Linked DNA regions of Caenorhabditis elegans. The protein of the gene in region 3 interacts with the protein of the main gene of each other region in a pairwise test. Each region holds a gene or a part of one and is shown on either strand. Other genes may lie near its edges.

The links. Proteins that work in one complex are often made in the same cells at the same time.
Region 1: the proteins of gpc-2 (region 3) and gpb-2 interact in a two-hybrid assay, tested with the Caenorhabditis elegans proteins (one study listed by BioGRID).
Region 2: the proteins of gpc-2 (region 3) and gpb-1 interact in a two-hybrid assay, tested with the Caenorhabditis elegans proteins (one study listed by BioGRID).

What each region holds. Positions count from the first base shown.
Region 1 is NC_003279.8:7,317,763-7,322,667, reverse strand, and holds gpb-2 (Guanine nucleotide-binding protein subunit beta-2), read left to right. Parts: upstream 1-1,582; 5' UTR 1,583-1,719; coding exon 1,720-1,796; intron 1,797-1,843; coding exon 1,844-1,932; intron 1,933-2,480; coding exon 2,481-2,617; intron 2,618-2,712; coding exon 2,713-2,831; intron 2,832-3,063; coding exon 3,064-3,256; intron 3,257-3,299; coding exon 3,300-3,518; intron 3,519-3,810; coding exon 3,811-3,907; intron 3,908-4,009; coding exon 4,010-4,188; 3' UTR 4,189-4,378; downstream 4,379-4,905. Other genes in the region: F52A8.3 (uncharacterized protein), read left to right, coding at 73-338; F52A8.1 (DUF2650 domain-containing protein), read right to left, coding at 4,619-4,708, 4,778-4,905. UniProt on the Caenorhabditis elegans protein: Guanine nucleotide-binding proteins (G proteins) are involved as a modulator or transducer in various transmembrane signaling systems.
Region 2 is NC_003280.10:11,742,284-11,749,441, forward strand, and holds gpb-1 (Guanine nucleotide-binding protein subunit beta-1), read right to left. Parts: upstream 5,368-7,158; 5' UTR 5,365-5,367; coding exon 5,308-5,364; intron 4,778-5,307; exon of another isoform or gene 4,640-4,777; intron 3,861-4,639; coding exon 3,747-3,860; intron 3,699-3,746; coding exon 3,603-3,698; intron 3,516-3,602; coding exon 3,437-3,515; intron 3,288-3,436; coding exon 3,137-3,287; intron 2,400-3,136; coding exon 2,270-2,399; intron 2,220-2,269; coding exon 2,148-2,219; intron 2,097-2,147; coding exon 1,880-2,096; intron 1,803-1,879; coding exon 1,696-1,802; 3' UTR 528-1,695; downstream 1-527. Other genes in the region: Serine carboxypeptidase ctsa-1.2, read left to right, coding at 285-464.
Region 3 is NC_003279.8:6,755,761-6,758,724, reverse strand, and holds gpc-2 (G protein gamma domain-containing protein), read right to left. Parts: upstream 963-2,964; 5' UTR 958-962; coding exon 869-957; intron 818-868; coding exon 718-817; 3' UTR 547-717; downstream 1-546. Other genes in the region: calu-2 (EF-hand domain-containing protein), read left to right, coding at 238-487; hrpf-1 (RRM domain-containing protein), read left to right, coding at 2,379-2,457, 2,500-2,629, 2,674-2,914, 2,962-2,964.

The DNA.
Region 1 (4,905 bases), 560 kb from region 3:
ATTTGAGACATTTCTAACTGCTTCACATACAAACTAAAAAATTCAGTAAAAATAGCCAATATTTCAGTTTAGTCTCATCTCCTATCATTGCCCAATCTGCTCCTGTTCCAATTCCTGTCAATTATGATAATATTCCTGGTAATGCTAATTATATTCAACACACTCGTCAAGCTCCACGTCAAATCCACGTGGACTCATCACCAAGAGATTCTGAAATATCTCGTGTCATGGTTCCTGGTGATCAGGTCATGTTCTCTGCTGAAGATCGTTATTATACCTCGTCGACGGCTCCGGCAACTGCTCACCGACCTGATGCCTACAATGTTTCTCGATATTAATTTTTCTGTCTTTCACTTTTTCTGCTTGTATATTACGCTTGAATAAATATTTTGAGTCTTAAAATTATTGGCACTGAAACTACCGGTGTACAAGAAGTGTCTTACAGCTACAGCTAGTCTAGATTTCTGGTTTTAGTGGGGAATTTATTTAAACCACTTCTATAGTGATAACATTGTTAATTATCAATATCATAGTAAAGCTTTTCAGAAAAAAGTTGAATATGTTTATGCGCTGTCGAAAAGTGGTAAATTCTCATTTTCACACATCATAACTCTGCAAGTAGACAGAAAAATATGTTTTATACGAGTTTCCTATTTTTCTTATGCCTTTTTTTATTATAATATTGTAGGTTTTAGAGCATTCCACAATGCTATTCCCTGCGAAGGATAAAGTTGCAAAAATTTGACAATTTTCCATAACTTATTTTTTCAAAAAACCTAAAACGATTGTGGGACTTTTTAAACTGGTTTTACTCAACTTTTAAGCTAACCTAGCACTTTTTTATAATTAATTTCACTTCACAAAAACCATCAAGACATGTGCATTGCCTAATTTTAACTCATCCCGTTCTTCGAGCCACTCTCTTTTCCACATCTCTTCCGTCTCTTTTCATCTTTTTCCCAGAAACCGCGACGCGACCGCATTGCATTCTCTTTCCATTGCAAAAAGGACCGCTCGGCAAAACGAGAAAAGAAATAGAGAAAATAGTGAAGAGGGAGAAGCGAGACATAGCGGAGTAAGGCACGCAAATAGAATTCATTGCACCATGATTTCGGGCCCTCGACGGCTTTTTGTCGTGGCGAATATAGTTTTGTCTTAATCAATACCATCAAATTTATGATAATTTAATGATAATGTAGCCACATCCATCCTATTTTTGAGCATGTTCAACAGAATAACTTTGCAAAAAAGGCTTTTACTTTTATTTTTTATAAACGTTACTTATAAAATGTGTGAAACTCCGATCATTGCAAAACCTTAGGCAAATATAAATTAATAGTAATGGTAGTACGATATTTTGAATTACCTTATCAACATGTTTTTGGTTTAAAATCAAATTCTTTTTACATTGTGCTCGTTTCAATTGTGCCAAACTGTTGTCTAATTTGTTGTTTCAAATAAAAAATTAAAATCCAAAATCATGTAAATGATCTTGATCTTCCTATATATTTCTTACATTTCTAGGCATGTCCTTTAAGAATTTGGCTACTTCAAACTTATTTTTTTAATAGCAATGTTTCAGGAAAAATGTGCCTCTAAACCTCAAACAAACCGCCCATCTCTAATTGTTCTATTCAAATTCATTTTCTTCAACCCTCAGTCTTCTCTTCCTTTTTTTGCATAATTCGTCTTCTGATCTCAAAAAGAAACGCAATTTGAATGAGCACCATTGCTGGAGAATCGTCTTCCTCGTCGAAAATGCCAGAAAACTCTCAGCCAACAACAACCGAAAAAGGGTATTTGTACATTTTACATTACAAAGGGTTACACTACATTATTTCAGATCGGAATATTTAGAACAATTGGCAAATGAAGCCGAAGAGCTTAGAAAGAAATTGGATCAAGAGAGGCACAAGCTTAATGACATTCCTAGTAAGTATTTGAAAAAAATTAAAAAGATAATTTATTAGAATACTTCAATTTAAAAAGAGGGACTTTGAAGAAGAACACTACTAAAAAATTGAACTTTACAATTCCTAGGTTAGAAATCCTCCGGAGTCTTTTTTCTTTGTTTTTTTATTGAAAAAATAAACTTTTGAATTAAAAGCTCACAATCAGTGAGGATATTGAATAAAAATATCAATGCGGTTCTTCATAACCGAATATTATAATTGCCCAAATATCAATACACACCAAAAATTACGTCTAAGTTTTGGTAAATTGTCAAATCTAGGTGAAGTTGGACTTTTTGAGAACTTGTTTGACTGAAAAAAGTTGAAAAAAGTTTTTGAAAACTTTAAAGAAATTTGAGTTAAATAATTTGATGAACAAAAAGATACCAGATATGCTTTGTGATATTTGCATAATTCTAAATGTTTTCTCTTTGACTTTTTTGAGGTTATGCCTAATTTACTATTACCAAGAACTACAGTAATCCCAAAACGCACTAAGTAGTTTTTTACATCCTAAGTAATTTTCAGTTCAACAAGCAGCCGAACGACTTGACGTTATGGGAGCTCTTGGTGTAAAACAGCGTCGAATTTTAAAAGGACACGTGGGAAAAGTATTATGCATGGATTGGTCATTGGATAAAAGACATATCGTCTCTTCATCTCAGGTTGGTTTAAAATATGACTTACAAAAGATTCAGTAGTCTTCAAAAATTGAAACCTCGATTTCTAAAATGAATTTGCTCAAATTAGTAAATTTTAGGACGGGAAAGTGATTGTATGGGATGGATTTACTACGAATAAGGAACATGCTCTTACGATGCCAACAACTTGGGTTATGGCATGTGCATTCTCTCCATCGAGTCAAATGATCGCTTGCGGGTAAGATTTCTTTCAAATACTTCAAAGCTTTCAAAAAATACAAACGGTAGTACACGGACTTATAGTGTTCATGAGAATTTATTGTTTTTTTTTTCAAATTATAAAAGAGCTCTTACAGACGGAATTTTCAAAAATTGGCTCATGTATACTTTACCAATTTTGAAGCTTTCATGTTATTAATTAAAAATTTTTATTATTATTTTTTGAATTTTCAAAAATTCCAATTTTACAGAGGACTTGATAATAAATGCAGTGTCGTTCCACTTTCTTTTGAAGATGATATAATTCAAAAGAAAAGACAAGTAGCAACTCATACTTCTTATATGTCATGTTGTACATTCCTTCGTTCGGATAATCTTATTTTAACTGGAAGTGGAGATTCAACATGTGCTATTTGGGATGTTGAAAGTGGACAACTTATTCAGGTTTTTTATTCTCGCGAATCGGAAACCCAATTCAAAAATTCAGAATTTCCATGGTCATACTGGTGATGTATTTGCAATCGATGTTCCAAAATGTGATACTGGAAATACATTTATTTCCGCAGGAGCTGACAAACATTCTCTTGTATGGGATATTCGTTCAGGACAATGTGTACAATCATTTGAAGGACATGAAGCTGATATTAATACTGTTCGATTTCATCCAAATGGTGATGCATTTGCAACTGGATCTGATGATGCTACTGTAAGTCACAAGTGTTTAAACTTCTTCATTATTGAAAATTGGAGAAGGGATGGGAAATTATGGAAGCCTTGCACGACCATGTGTCGAATTACGCAGCTAGTGTACTCCTCGAGAAGAAGTGACAATATGCCCACTTCTCCTCGGGGAGTACACGAGCTGCGTAAATCGACACATGGCCGTGCAAGAGAATCTTAATTAAATTTCACGGTTATTCTTCCATTTTTCGAAAATTATAGTTTGGGAGAAAGTCGCGAGAGTTGCTTGTTTTGTCTGAAAATATTACTTTTTCCAGTGTCGCTTATTCGATCTTCGAGCAGATCGTCAAGTATGTGTGTATGAAAAAGAATCAATCTTGTTCCCCGTAAATGGAGTCGATTTCAGTTTGAGCGGTACGTTTAAATCTTCACAAAAACGTATAGTCCAAATCAATTCAATGCATCTCTGAAATTCACAGAACTAAACTTTTCACTCTAACTATTAAAAAATTACAGGTCGTATTCTATTTGCTGGTTATGGTGATTATCGTGTCGGTGTATGGGATTCGCTGAAATGCGCCCGTCATTCAGTACTTTATGGACATGAGAATCGTATTAGTTGCCTCCGAACTTCTCCTGATGGAACAGCCGTCTGCTCGGCGAGCTGGGATTGCACAATTCGCATTTGGGCTTGATTATTTAATATTAATTTTTCTCTTACAATTTTTGAGCTTTATGTCACTTTACTCATCCCCCTTCCCACCAGTCTCTATCCCTGTACTATTATCTAACCATCCCACTATTTTCTCCTATCTCAACTTTCTAGTCACAAATACTGTAAAGTACTCGTTCATTGCTGAATGATGTAAATAGAATTCACTAAATACACCTGTTAAAATACAATTCAAAAAGGCAAGGGTGAACTGTGAGGAAAGGAAAATTACATAACAAAAAAGAAAGAAGTGTGGAAAGTAGAGTATTCAATGAGCAACGTATGGCAAATTATCAGAGAATATTAAAAGGAAGAAATTCAGTGAATTGGTTATAAAGAGAAAAGTGGAAATTTTGATAAAACTGTTGCCCCGAAGATTTGATGAAGAAATGTGAAAATTATAAGTCAAATACTTATGCGCAGCAGAAGCATCTGACGCAGTTGATGATGATCGAGAGAATCGTGCAGACGGCAAGGAAGAGAAGAAGAACAGTAACCCAATCCTGAAAGAAACAAATTTAGAAATTAACATATTTAAATTTCAGCAGATCTTTTGAAAAATGAATTATTACCTGAAGACGGAAGCAACACTGATCAGCAATCTGTCCGCAGCACTTGAAGTACCAGAAAACGTTCTCTTCTGGGCAAGCTTGTCCGACAACTGGAAGTGGGCATGCCAATGGACTCCTTCTGATCGTGA
Region 2 (7,158 bases), on a different chromosome or scaffold from region 3:
TCCAAACAATACGGCGCCGGGTCTCGACACGATAAATTTTTGTTGAATGAGCGAAGCTGTGCGCCTTTAAAGAGTACTGTAGTTTCAAACTTCCGTTGCTGCGGATTTTTCATCGAAAATTATTTTTTTGAAAATATTACTCTTTAAAGGCGCACATCGTTTTGCATTCATAAAAATTGTCGTGTCGAGACACCGGGTACCGTATTTTTAAACAATAAGCTCTCAATCGCTGCGAGACCCAAGATTTTTAATGTTTTGTAAAAATTCCATAATTTAATTTCCAGCTCTCCAAGAAGAAGACCCACTTCACTGTGAAGGGTCAAATCGGTGGATACGTGACACAGTACAAGGGATCCCAGGTGACATTCGCCACTGTTCGCGGAGCCGGACACATGGTACCAACCGACAAGCCAGCCGTCGCCGAGCACATCATCCAATCGTTCCTGTTCAACAAGGCCTTCTAATCGTTAGGAGAACAATGATAATAATTTTGAAATAAATGTCTGAAAAACTGAGCTCACAAGAGGTTATAAGGTTCCAGCAATTTATAAGAATTTGGAAATTGAAACAATAAAAAAGAATAAAAAGGGAAATAAGATTTTTTGGGTGTTTTGGGGAAAAGAAGAGATGGGGGGATGGGGGATGTTCATTTTTCAAGAATTGTGATGGATTAAACAGATGTGGGGGGTTGAGGGGGAGAAGAGAGGAAAAGAAGTGGCAGCTATCCGAATAAATGAGAACTTTTTTATCTTTAATTTTGCGATCGGAAGAACTTACAAAATCACGGTGGTAGGAGAATTAAAAGAAATTAGAAAAAAAAACTTAGGGGGTTTTGTGTGTGTGAAAAAGTTGAAAACGGTCTGGAAAGGGATCGATGGGATACATAGAAGACAAAAAAAAGAGGTGAAGATTTGTGGGGGGAGTCAATTAAATTAGTGTAGAAGACGAGAAATGAGAGAAGATGATACCAGAAATAGAGAAAAAAAGAAGCTTAAATAATTATATATCGGGAGGAAATAATAATTAGAATGGATCTCATATTGTGCTTTTCTTGATGTGGGGGTTTTAGGATTAGTGATGCGCGTGGCGTTCGCTTTTCGATTTCAAAATTGTACTCCGCGCGCGTGGCTCCATCACTGTATATCTTGCTCGCCGAGCACAAATTTGTCTTACATATATATAAAATTTTTTGTCGTAGCATGAATATCATGTTAGTAGAATACGATCGGGGAGAGAAAGAGAGCGCGCGCATGTGTATGTGTCTGTGACTAAAGTGAGTGGTGAAAGAGGAAGAAAGATTAAGCTTCGCGGGGGGCGGGGAGACACAGAAAATGTGAAATAAAAATAAATGAGAGAGAGAGAGTTGAGAATTGCTATAATAATAATTTTCACATAGTAAAAAAAATTGATGAGAAAATTCGAACAAACGTCAAGGAAAGTAATATGGGGAGGGCGATTGAAGAGAGACTAGAAAGTACCGAACAAAAAGCGATGAGAAGAGGTGAGAGAAGAAAAAGAGATCCGGGCACGCGGAAGAGGGCGCCGGGATAGCGGATAGCGACGAAAGAATGAGAACAACAGGGGGGTTTCAAGAGCGGAAAAAAATTGGGGAAAATGGGGAAAAAAATTGCCACGTAGTGTCATCATCATTCAATCAATAATTGGAGAATAATTAAGGAAGACATTTGATGTTTCTTAATTCCAGATCTTGAGGAACGAGTCCCATGATCCTGTGCACACGGCCATACCGTCCTCGGTGACTCCTAGACAAGAAACTCGGTTATCGTGACCAGCCAATACTCCTGAAATTGGAAGAACAATTAGTTTTTCATCACTTTCAACTTGGAAAATTTCAAAAAAAGGAGCTAAAGGCACTCACCAGCTCTCTCCTGTCGCATCGAATCCCAAACATTGCAGTTGAAGTCGTCGTATCCGGCGAACAACAGGCGACCCGATTTTGAGAATGCGACACTAGTGATTCCGCAAATAATATTATCATGAGAATACATGGCAAGTTCCTGATCAGCACGAATGTCGAACAATCGGCATGTCGCATCGTCGGATCCGGTGGCGAACGCGTTTCCGGATGGGAAGAACTGCAAAAAATTGATTTTTTTTTGAAAAATCTTCAAAATAATAAAACTTACGGCAACAGCGTTGATGTCTGACTCGTGTCCTGGGAACGTTTGCTTGCACATGCCGTCTCGGATATCCCACAACTGAAATTTAAAAAATTTAAAAAAAAATCAACTTTTCAAAAATCCTATACCTTCGCCGAAGCGTCACAGGCTCCTGAGATGAATGTGCGGAAGTCTGGAGAAAGTGAAAGCGACATGACGTCACCAGTGTGACCGGTGAACGCGGTGCACTGTTGTCCGGTTTCAATGTCCCATAGAGCGCTGGAAAAAAAATTGGAGAATTAGGATAATTTACGAAAAAGTGATATTATATGATATGGTAGAGGTTAAAGGCACATGCCGGTTTGAAAAGTGGGTCTCGCCACGATCATAGTGGCCGCTACAGGCGCCAAATTTCTCAGATTTGTTAATTTGGTGTAGAAAATGAAATTTTAAACTCTAAAATGCAATTTGCACTTTAGAATTTGAAACTTTACAAACTTCTTTTTTTTTCGTGGCGAGACCCAATCGGAAAATAGCGTGTGGCTTTAAAAAATCTGAAATTTTGCAGAATCACGAGATAAATTTTGGAAGTTATCTGAAATCTTTCTTACATTTTCAAACTGGAATTTTTTTAAACTTTTCAAAGTACAAACTACACGTCTAGAGATCACAATTTAACAATAGACTTGTAAAATTTTGAAGTCCGAAAATTTACATTTTTCGCGGGCCGACTTTTGTGCTCTTTCTGTCTTTTATTCACACGTTCTTTGCTTCTCTCCACCTCAATTTCATCAAGCGGCACAAAAAGAGCCCAGTTTGAAAACAAACTCATCAACATTCAACATCCGAATTTCTCCTTCGCACTTCTTCTACTTTTGTGTGCTCTGGCTATACACTGATGCTCAAATTACGCGGAAAAAAAAAAATGAAAAGTAGAAACTAGTTGATAATTTATGATTTTTTATAGGATTTTTCTTTAATTAAAAAAAATGAAATTTTTCAAAAAAAAAACCCACCAAGTCATATCTCCGGAAGAGGTGACAATTTGGTTGTCATCAAGGAATCGACAACACGACAAGTATCCAGTATGTCCTGGAAGCTCACGAGACACCCGCACGTTTCCCTCGCGTGTTTTCAGCGAGTAAATTGAGCAAATGTTGTCGAGACCTGGAAAAATTGAGAATTGTTACTTTTTATTTTAAAAAATTTGAATTTTGCTCGTGTAGATTTACGAGATTCAAATTCTCAATAGAAACCCAGATTTCCCAGTAATCTCTCCGGAAAATTTGAATACAATGAGTAATCCTTCAGCTTACCTCCACAAGCGACAAACGATCCCGATGGAGCATAGGCACAAGTCATCACCCACGATGATCTCAAGGGAATTGCATGAACCTGGAAAAAAAATGCAAATTAATTTCTTTAAATTTTTTCTTTTTTTATCAAAAAAAAAACAATTGAAAATCGTCAAAAAAAACTCACTTTATTTGTGGTGTACGAGTCCCAAACGATGAGCTTTCCGTCTTGTGAAGCTGACACCAAATTGCGACTGTCTGATGCCCAGTGCATTGCATAAATCTGCAAAATTTATCGATTTTATGACTAGAAAAAGTCTGAAAGCCCTACCTTGGCTAAATGTCCCCTAAGCGTACGTCTCGTCCTCATCTGAATGCGGCCAATTGGCTCCAGATTTGAAGCGACGGTGGCCAGTGTTGTGTCATTTGCTGATTTCCGGGCTTCCTGCAAAAAATTAATTTATTTTGTTTTTTTTTTAATTATGAAAAACTTCAAATTATTGGTTTTTACAACTTTTTACTTCAAAATCTGTAAATTCGGGCCTTAAATTTTTATAAAAATTACTGTAATTTCCACTCTAGGAATTTTCATCGATTTTTCATAGTTTTCAACTAAAAAACATAAATTTTTATAAAATCGAGAGAAAAACTATTATCTAGACGGATATATATGAGGTTTTTTGCCACATGAGTCTCGCCACGAATTGTCGATTTACGGGCTGTTATTACATATTTTTGCATACATTAAACACATTAAATGGACAGTTTGAGATGATGCAATAGTGCCCCGTAAATCGACATGGGGGATCAGAACCTCTCATTTTTAGACGTCCACATAATATGGAAAATTGCTGAAAATTCCCGAATTTGAAATTACAGTAATCTTTTCACAAAAATTTGTCGCTTCGAGACCGGGGACTGTATTTTTGAAGCGAAAAATCTTCCACTTCCATAAATGTTTTGTGCATTTAATTAACACCAATTCAGTGTATTTTCTATCTCTGCTGCCCCTCCTCGCTCCAGGCCAGCTCACCCCGTTTTCAGCACCACGAGAGCTTCACCAAACCCCGCGCAACATTTTGTGCTCGCGCACACGCACAACCATGTGTGTGTGTGTGAGTGCTCGTCGGAGCAGGAGCTACCACCAATTCTAGTGAGCGACGCGATGACAACGACAACGACGACGACGACGGCAGCAGAGTCCTCAAGGGAGAATGGCGCACTACGACACGAGTGGAGCTTGCGCAGAAGAGAGACTGCGAGAGATCTCTCTCTCTCTCTCTCGTGCTCTTGGCCAGCAGTAGCGGCAGAAATTGAGAGCATTCGGCGGCGGGGCCCCGGGAAAATAGTGGAACAAGAGCCGGAGACGCCGACAATCTCACATTAGGCAGCCAATCTATTCTCCTCGCTCGCTCGCTGCTTCTGCTGCTGCTCCAGCTTCTCCTCGTCTCAGTGCCCCCACCAGGGGCGACCCCATCTCGGCCAATGGCTCGCCGCGGCCTGCGTGTGTGGAGCAACAACTTCTGCTACTGATCGATATTTTGCAGCGGCGATGGCGGGTAGAAGAAGAAGAAAAGAAGACGACGACGGCTGGGGGACGACGACCATCGTGTTATACACATCCAGTGCAGCAGCACGTCCCCTCAAGTACGGCGCAAAAACAACGCCGATGGCGGCGGCGGCGGCATCGTTGGAAGGGGAGCGCTTTACTTATTACCAACAATTTGTATATGTATGTGTGTATATGTGTGTGTATAAATATATAAATGCGTGTATTTCTCATATTTCGCATATTCAAACAATTGCTAGACCATGCTCTGGAACGAGAGATTACTGCAATTATTAGTTTAAAAAATATTTTAAAAAATAAAAAAAAACACAGATTTACTCACCCGAATCTGCGACTTCAGCTGTTCAGCCTCCTGTCGAAGTTGGTCAAGTTCGCTCATCTTGCTGCTGGTGGTGGTGCGTGCTCCGGAGGATGGTACTGATGGAAGTGTCGACGGATGCGGCTGCGGCTAATGCTGCTCCTGGTCGGTGTTCGCGTTTTCGACGGCGGCGCTGCTCTATTCGTCGTCTTCGTGGCCTTTGTTCTTGCACTCGACAACTGGGCCTGCAAAAAAAAGCGTGAATTAAGAATTATTGGATAGAAAAAAAGAGTTTGAAGGAAATAGCAGAAAAAATCGATTTTTTCCAAGAATTTGATTATTTTCATGAAGGAATTAAATTTATCGTTAAAATAATTCAAGTTTTCGAAGCTTTTAGAGATTTTCTGTGGAGAAAATAAGAAAAAATAAGATAAAAAGGTCAAAAAAGGAAAGAAAATCAAAGAAAAACAACAGTGTGCATATTGACGTCACGGTGTTTGCAGAAACTACGGTAGGCCAGCACATGCTAATTGCCGCGCAATGTTTTTTGTTTTTATTTAATTAATTAATTAATAAGTTTTAAATTGAATATTCAATGCGAAAACCAATCAAAAAATGAAGAAAATTATTGATTGTTTCATTGTAATCAAGTAATTTATGTAAAAATCAAAAATTTGAAAAAAATGGATTTTTTTCAATTTAAAAATAAGTGATTCCAGAATTCTATATTTGAAAAAACAACACATTTTGGTCTTACTTATCTAATAAAATAGTTCGATTCTAAAATCGATAACTAGACGGGAAAATATTTAATTCTTTAGAGAGGAACTTTGGAAGTAGATTATTAGCTCTAGGGATCCCTATAGGTGAGATAATAAAATAAGAATAAACTAAAGGTATGTTTTTGATCAAAACATGAAAAACCTACTAGAAAGAAATCTATATCACTAACCCTTTTAATTAAAACCCCTCGACCGACGTCAACTTGGCAAAGACGGTGAGACCAAGCTGCTGATCAGGAAGTACAGAATGACGGTCTGCAAACCAAAATCATAAGCTTCAGAAATTTTAAGCAAAATTTTTAACTTTCAAAAAATCAATAGATCGATTCAGAAACTGGCGTGAGAGCGGAACACTGTACGAGAAAGAAACCAAACCTTGAGACGCAGACCAAGCGGGATGGAAAAGGGGAGCGGGCGGGAAAAAATGTAAAAGTGTTGGTCTGTGTGTGTGTGTGTGGCGCGGAAGAACAAAACAATGACAAAAAAGAAAGAAAAGAAACTGAATACCACAAATGTCGAATGAAATGAGGGAATTAAGGAAGGAAATGATGGGGCACAGGTATTTGAGTTTTGAGGGAACATATTGCTCTCCGTGTTCAAATACCTTGGGCTCTCCCAGGTAGGAGCGCAAAACGTGACAAAAGCTAATATATATCTGTGCGAAGAAGGCGCGGCTCACTCTTTCTCTCTCCTACCATTGGATCTGCGAATTATTGATTCAACTTTTGTTTGCTAAATGCAGAATTCTAATTGCTTTGGGCGAGGGGACATCTGGTGCCCTCCAGCAGGTGGTGCGAGCATTTTTAACCAATAAAATTGTACAAAGTTCTCAGACAAAAATAGGCCAATTTTGACCGAGCCAGACTGCCATCGAAGATTAATGGCTTTGATGTGACGTGGCAGGACGCAAGACGGCTTAATGGCTGGTGTTTGGGTCTAAAATGTGAATGGGCACAGGAAATGAAAAAGCGGCGAAACGTTCTGGACTAGAAGGGAAAAAAAAGAAAAAATAAGCGGATTGTGTCAGGCAATCAGTCGATTCGACTAAGCAACACACAGCCCAGAGAAACAGACACGCATATGCAGATAATGC
Region 3 (2,964 bases):
CGGATTCAAAACTGAAAATATTTGAGAAACATGTGTTTAAGAAAATTTAGAACTTTAGAAAATACAATTATTTGAAATAATACGGTTTTATAAATAGGCTAACTCATTTTTCAATATATAAATACTTTCGAATCAATATTTATTTAAAATATATTTTAAAATAATATATTTCTAAACTATTCTGCTTCGGAGAAAAGTCGTTCAATTTTTTTTTTCCTAATTTGTGTCCATTTTTAGATTCCGTACAGTTTATGACAAAAACAAAGACGGAAAACTGGCCGGCGACGAGCTGACCGATTGGCTTCTCGTTGATGGAACAACAGCTGGATCTTATGAAGCTGAAAGTCTTCTAACAAATTCAGATGATGATAAAGATGGACAATTGTCTTATGAAGAAATTGTGAAGCATCATGCTCTTTTTGCCAAAACTGAAGCTGCTCAAGAAGCCGATCATCTGCACCCATATTATTCTCATGACGAGTTGTAATTATGTAGATCTCTGAATCGAAGTTAATTGAACAAATGATAAATTATTTACAATTGTATATATCTGAATAGTTTATTCACAGTAGTTTGCTTTCATTTTACAAAAAATTGGAAGAATGCGAAAATTGGATCATATAAATAGGACGAATAGTAAAGACAAAATCGGCGTTTGGATTAGTATTATGGATGACAAAAGTGAGGTTTGAAAGCGATGGTGGATGAATAAATGATTTAGAGCATGCTGCACTTGCTCTTCTCAGCCCATGGGTTAACCTTCTTGTCGATTGGGTTCACAAGTGGATCTTCTTGGCTTTCGGTGAAGCGACGAAGTCTGAAAGAAACAAAATTTTGAAAGTTGGGCATTCTGATCTCGTTAACTTACTCGGCTGCCGAAACAGTGATCGGAGTACGCTCAATATTGAGCTGGCTGCGAAGCGAGTCGACGGTTCGTTGCATGTCAGATTTATCCATCTTGTCTGAAACATTTCTTTATTGAATCGGAAATGAGAATCGTTTGAAAAAGAGTATTTGAAAGCCAAATTATACGAATTATTGCGAATACCATGGAGAACGAATAGTATTCAGAAAGTTATGAGAAACGGGTAGTTGCAAGTGTACGTTATAAATTAAACTTGTTAAGAACATTCAAAATTGGCCTATAAATAAGTTCGACTGACATTATTTAACTTGAAAAAAAGAGGTTTTTGGTAAAAGCAAAGGTTTAAATTAGGTTGAATTAACTGAAAAACAGTCGAATCATGGATTTTATTCAATTGAAAACCGAAGTTTCTGACTATACATTGACAATATCAGTCGAATTGGAAAAAATGAGTACTATAAAAGGAGTAGCAGAGCAGAGCAAAGACAGAAATGAGAGAAGAAGTGAGCACCAGCGGGACCCTGCCAGTCTTTTCTCTGCGCTCCTCCTCGCTTTGTGCTTCGCATTTGAAAATCAATACTTGAAAGAGTGTAGTGAAAATGGAGACATTGTAGAGGGCAGAGTGCTGCTGCTGCTGTTTCGATTGGCACACACACTCTCGCTCTGGCGCATACATTTACGCGAGACAACCTCACACACAAGCCCTACGAAGGAAAATTGAGAAGACGAAGAAGACATGGAAATTGAAGTGAGAATATATGGAAGATGACGGAAATGGAGGGGAATGAAGACATTAATTGGTGTTATATTTTCAAAGTGTGGAGCTTATATACAAAGGACAGACAGAAAATCATGGCACTATATTCGGAAAAAGATTTATGTATATTAAAGTTCACTGTGAGAAATTAAATTATTAAGCCAGCATTTTAGATTTTTTTCGTTATCGACAAGTCAATTGACAGATCTTTGAAAAACCGTGAATATATCCTGCAGTTCTAAAACAAAATGAGACTTTCATCGCCCAAAAAATTAAAACTTCATTTAAATAGCCAACCATCAGTTTTACAATTGTAAGATGCTGCTAGACAGAGAACAGCTTTTCTTACTCGTTGGAGATGCAAAGCATTTTCAGACCAAATAAACTCACTGTTTGCATTTAATGGAAGATGAGAAAATAAGTGAAAATTTTGTTCAAAAATACATTGTAAAAGAATAAGAAAACGGTGGTACATAGAGCCTCGAAACAAAAGAAAAATTAATATTAAAATGCATCATTTATTGTTCGTAGTACGGTAAACAATCGGTGTTTGCGACCACTGCAACGGACGCTACGCGCAAATGCACGGCCGAGAGTTTAAATCGAAAAATATTTTTTGTTTTGTTACTTTGTTTTCTTTCGGTTTTTATGTGAAAATTGTATTAGTTTTTTGTAATTTTTGCCACAAAAACGTATATTTGATCTCGACGGATAAAAAAGAACAGAATCAGAAAAATCCGTTTTTGTCTTTCAGAAATGTCTACTGCGTATGAAGTTCAATGTCGTGGATTACCATGGGAGGCCACTGAACAGGAGCTAAGAGATTTTTTCGGAAGTGAGTGGTGTTTTAAATCGTTATAAAAAAATCTTCTTCAAGATAATGGAATCGAAAGCTTGGAAATTCCAAGGAGAAACGGTCGAACCAGCGGTGATGCGAAAGTGGTTTTTACCAATGAAGAAGACTACAACAATGCTTTGAAAAAAGACCGAGAGCACTTGGGAAGCAGGTTTGACTTTCAAATATTTCTTTTAACGAATTAACTGTTTGCAGATACATCGAGGTTTTTCCTGCGGGTGGAGCACCAACAAGGCGTGGAGATCGAGGTGAACGTGGAGATCGTGGAGATCGTGACCATTATCGTTCACGCGGAGCACCTCCAAGAGATCGATATTCCGATCGTGGAGGACCACGGAGTAGCGGGCCGGACTCAATTGTGAGGCTTAGAGGATTGCCATTCTCAGTTACGAGCCGAGATATCAGTGATTTTTTAGCCCCATTGCCAATAGTTCGGGTGAGTAATACTACAAAAGTCTTGTTTGATTTCTTGAAATATTTCAGGAT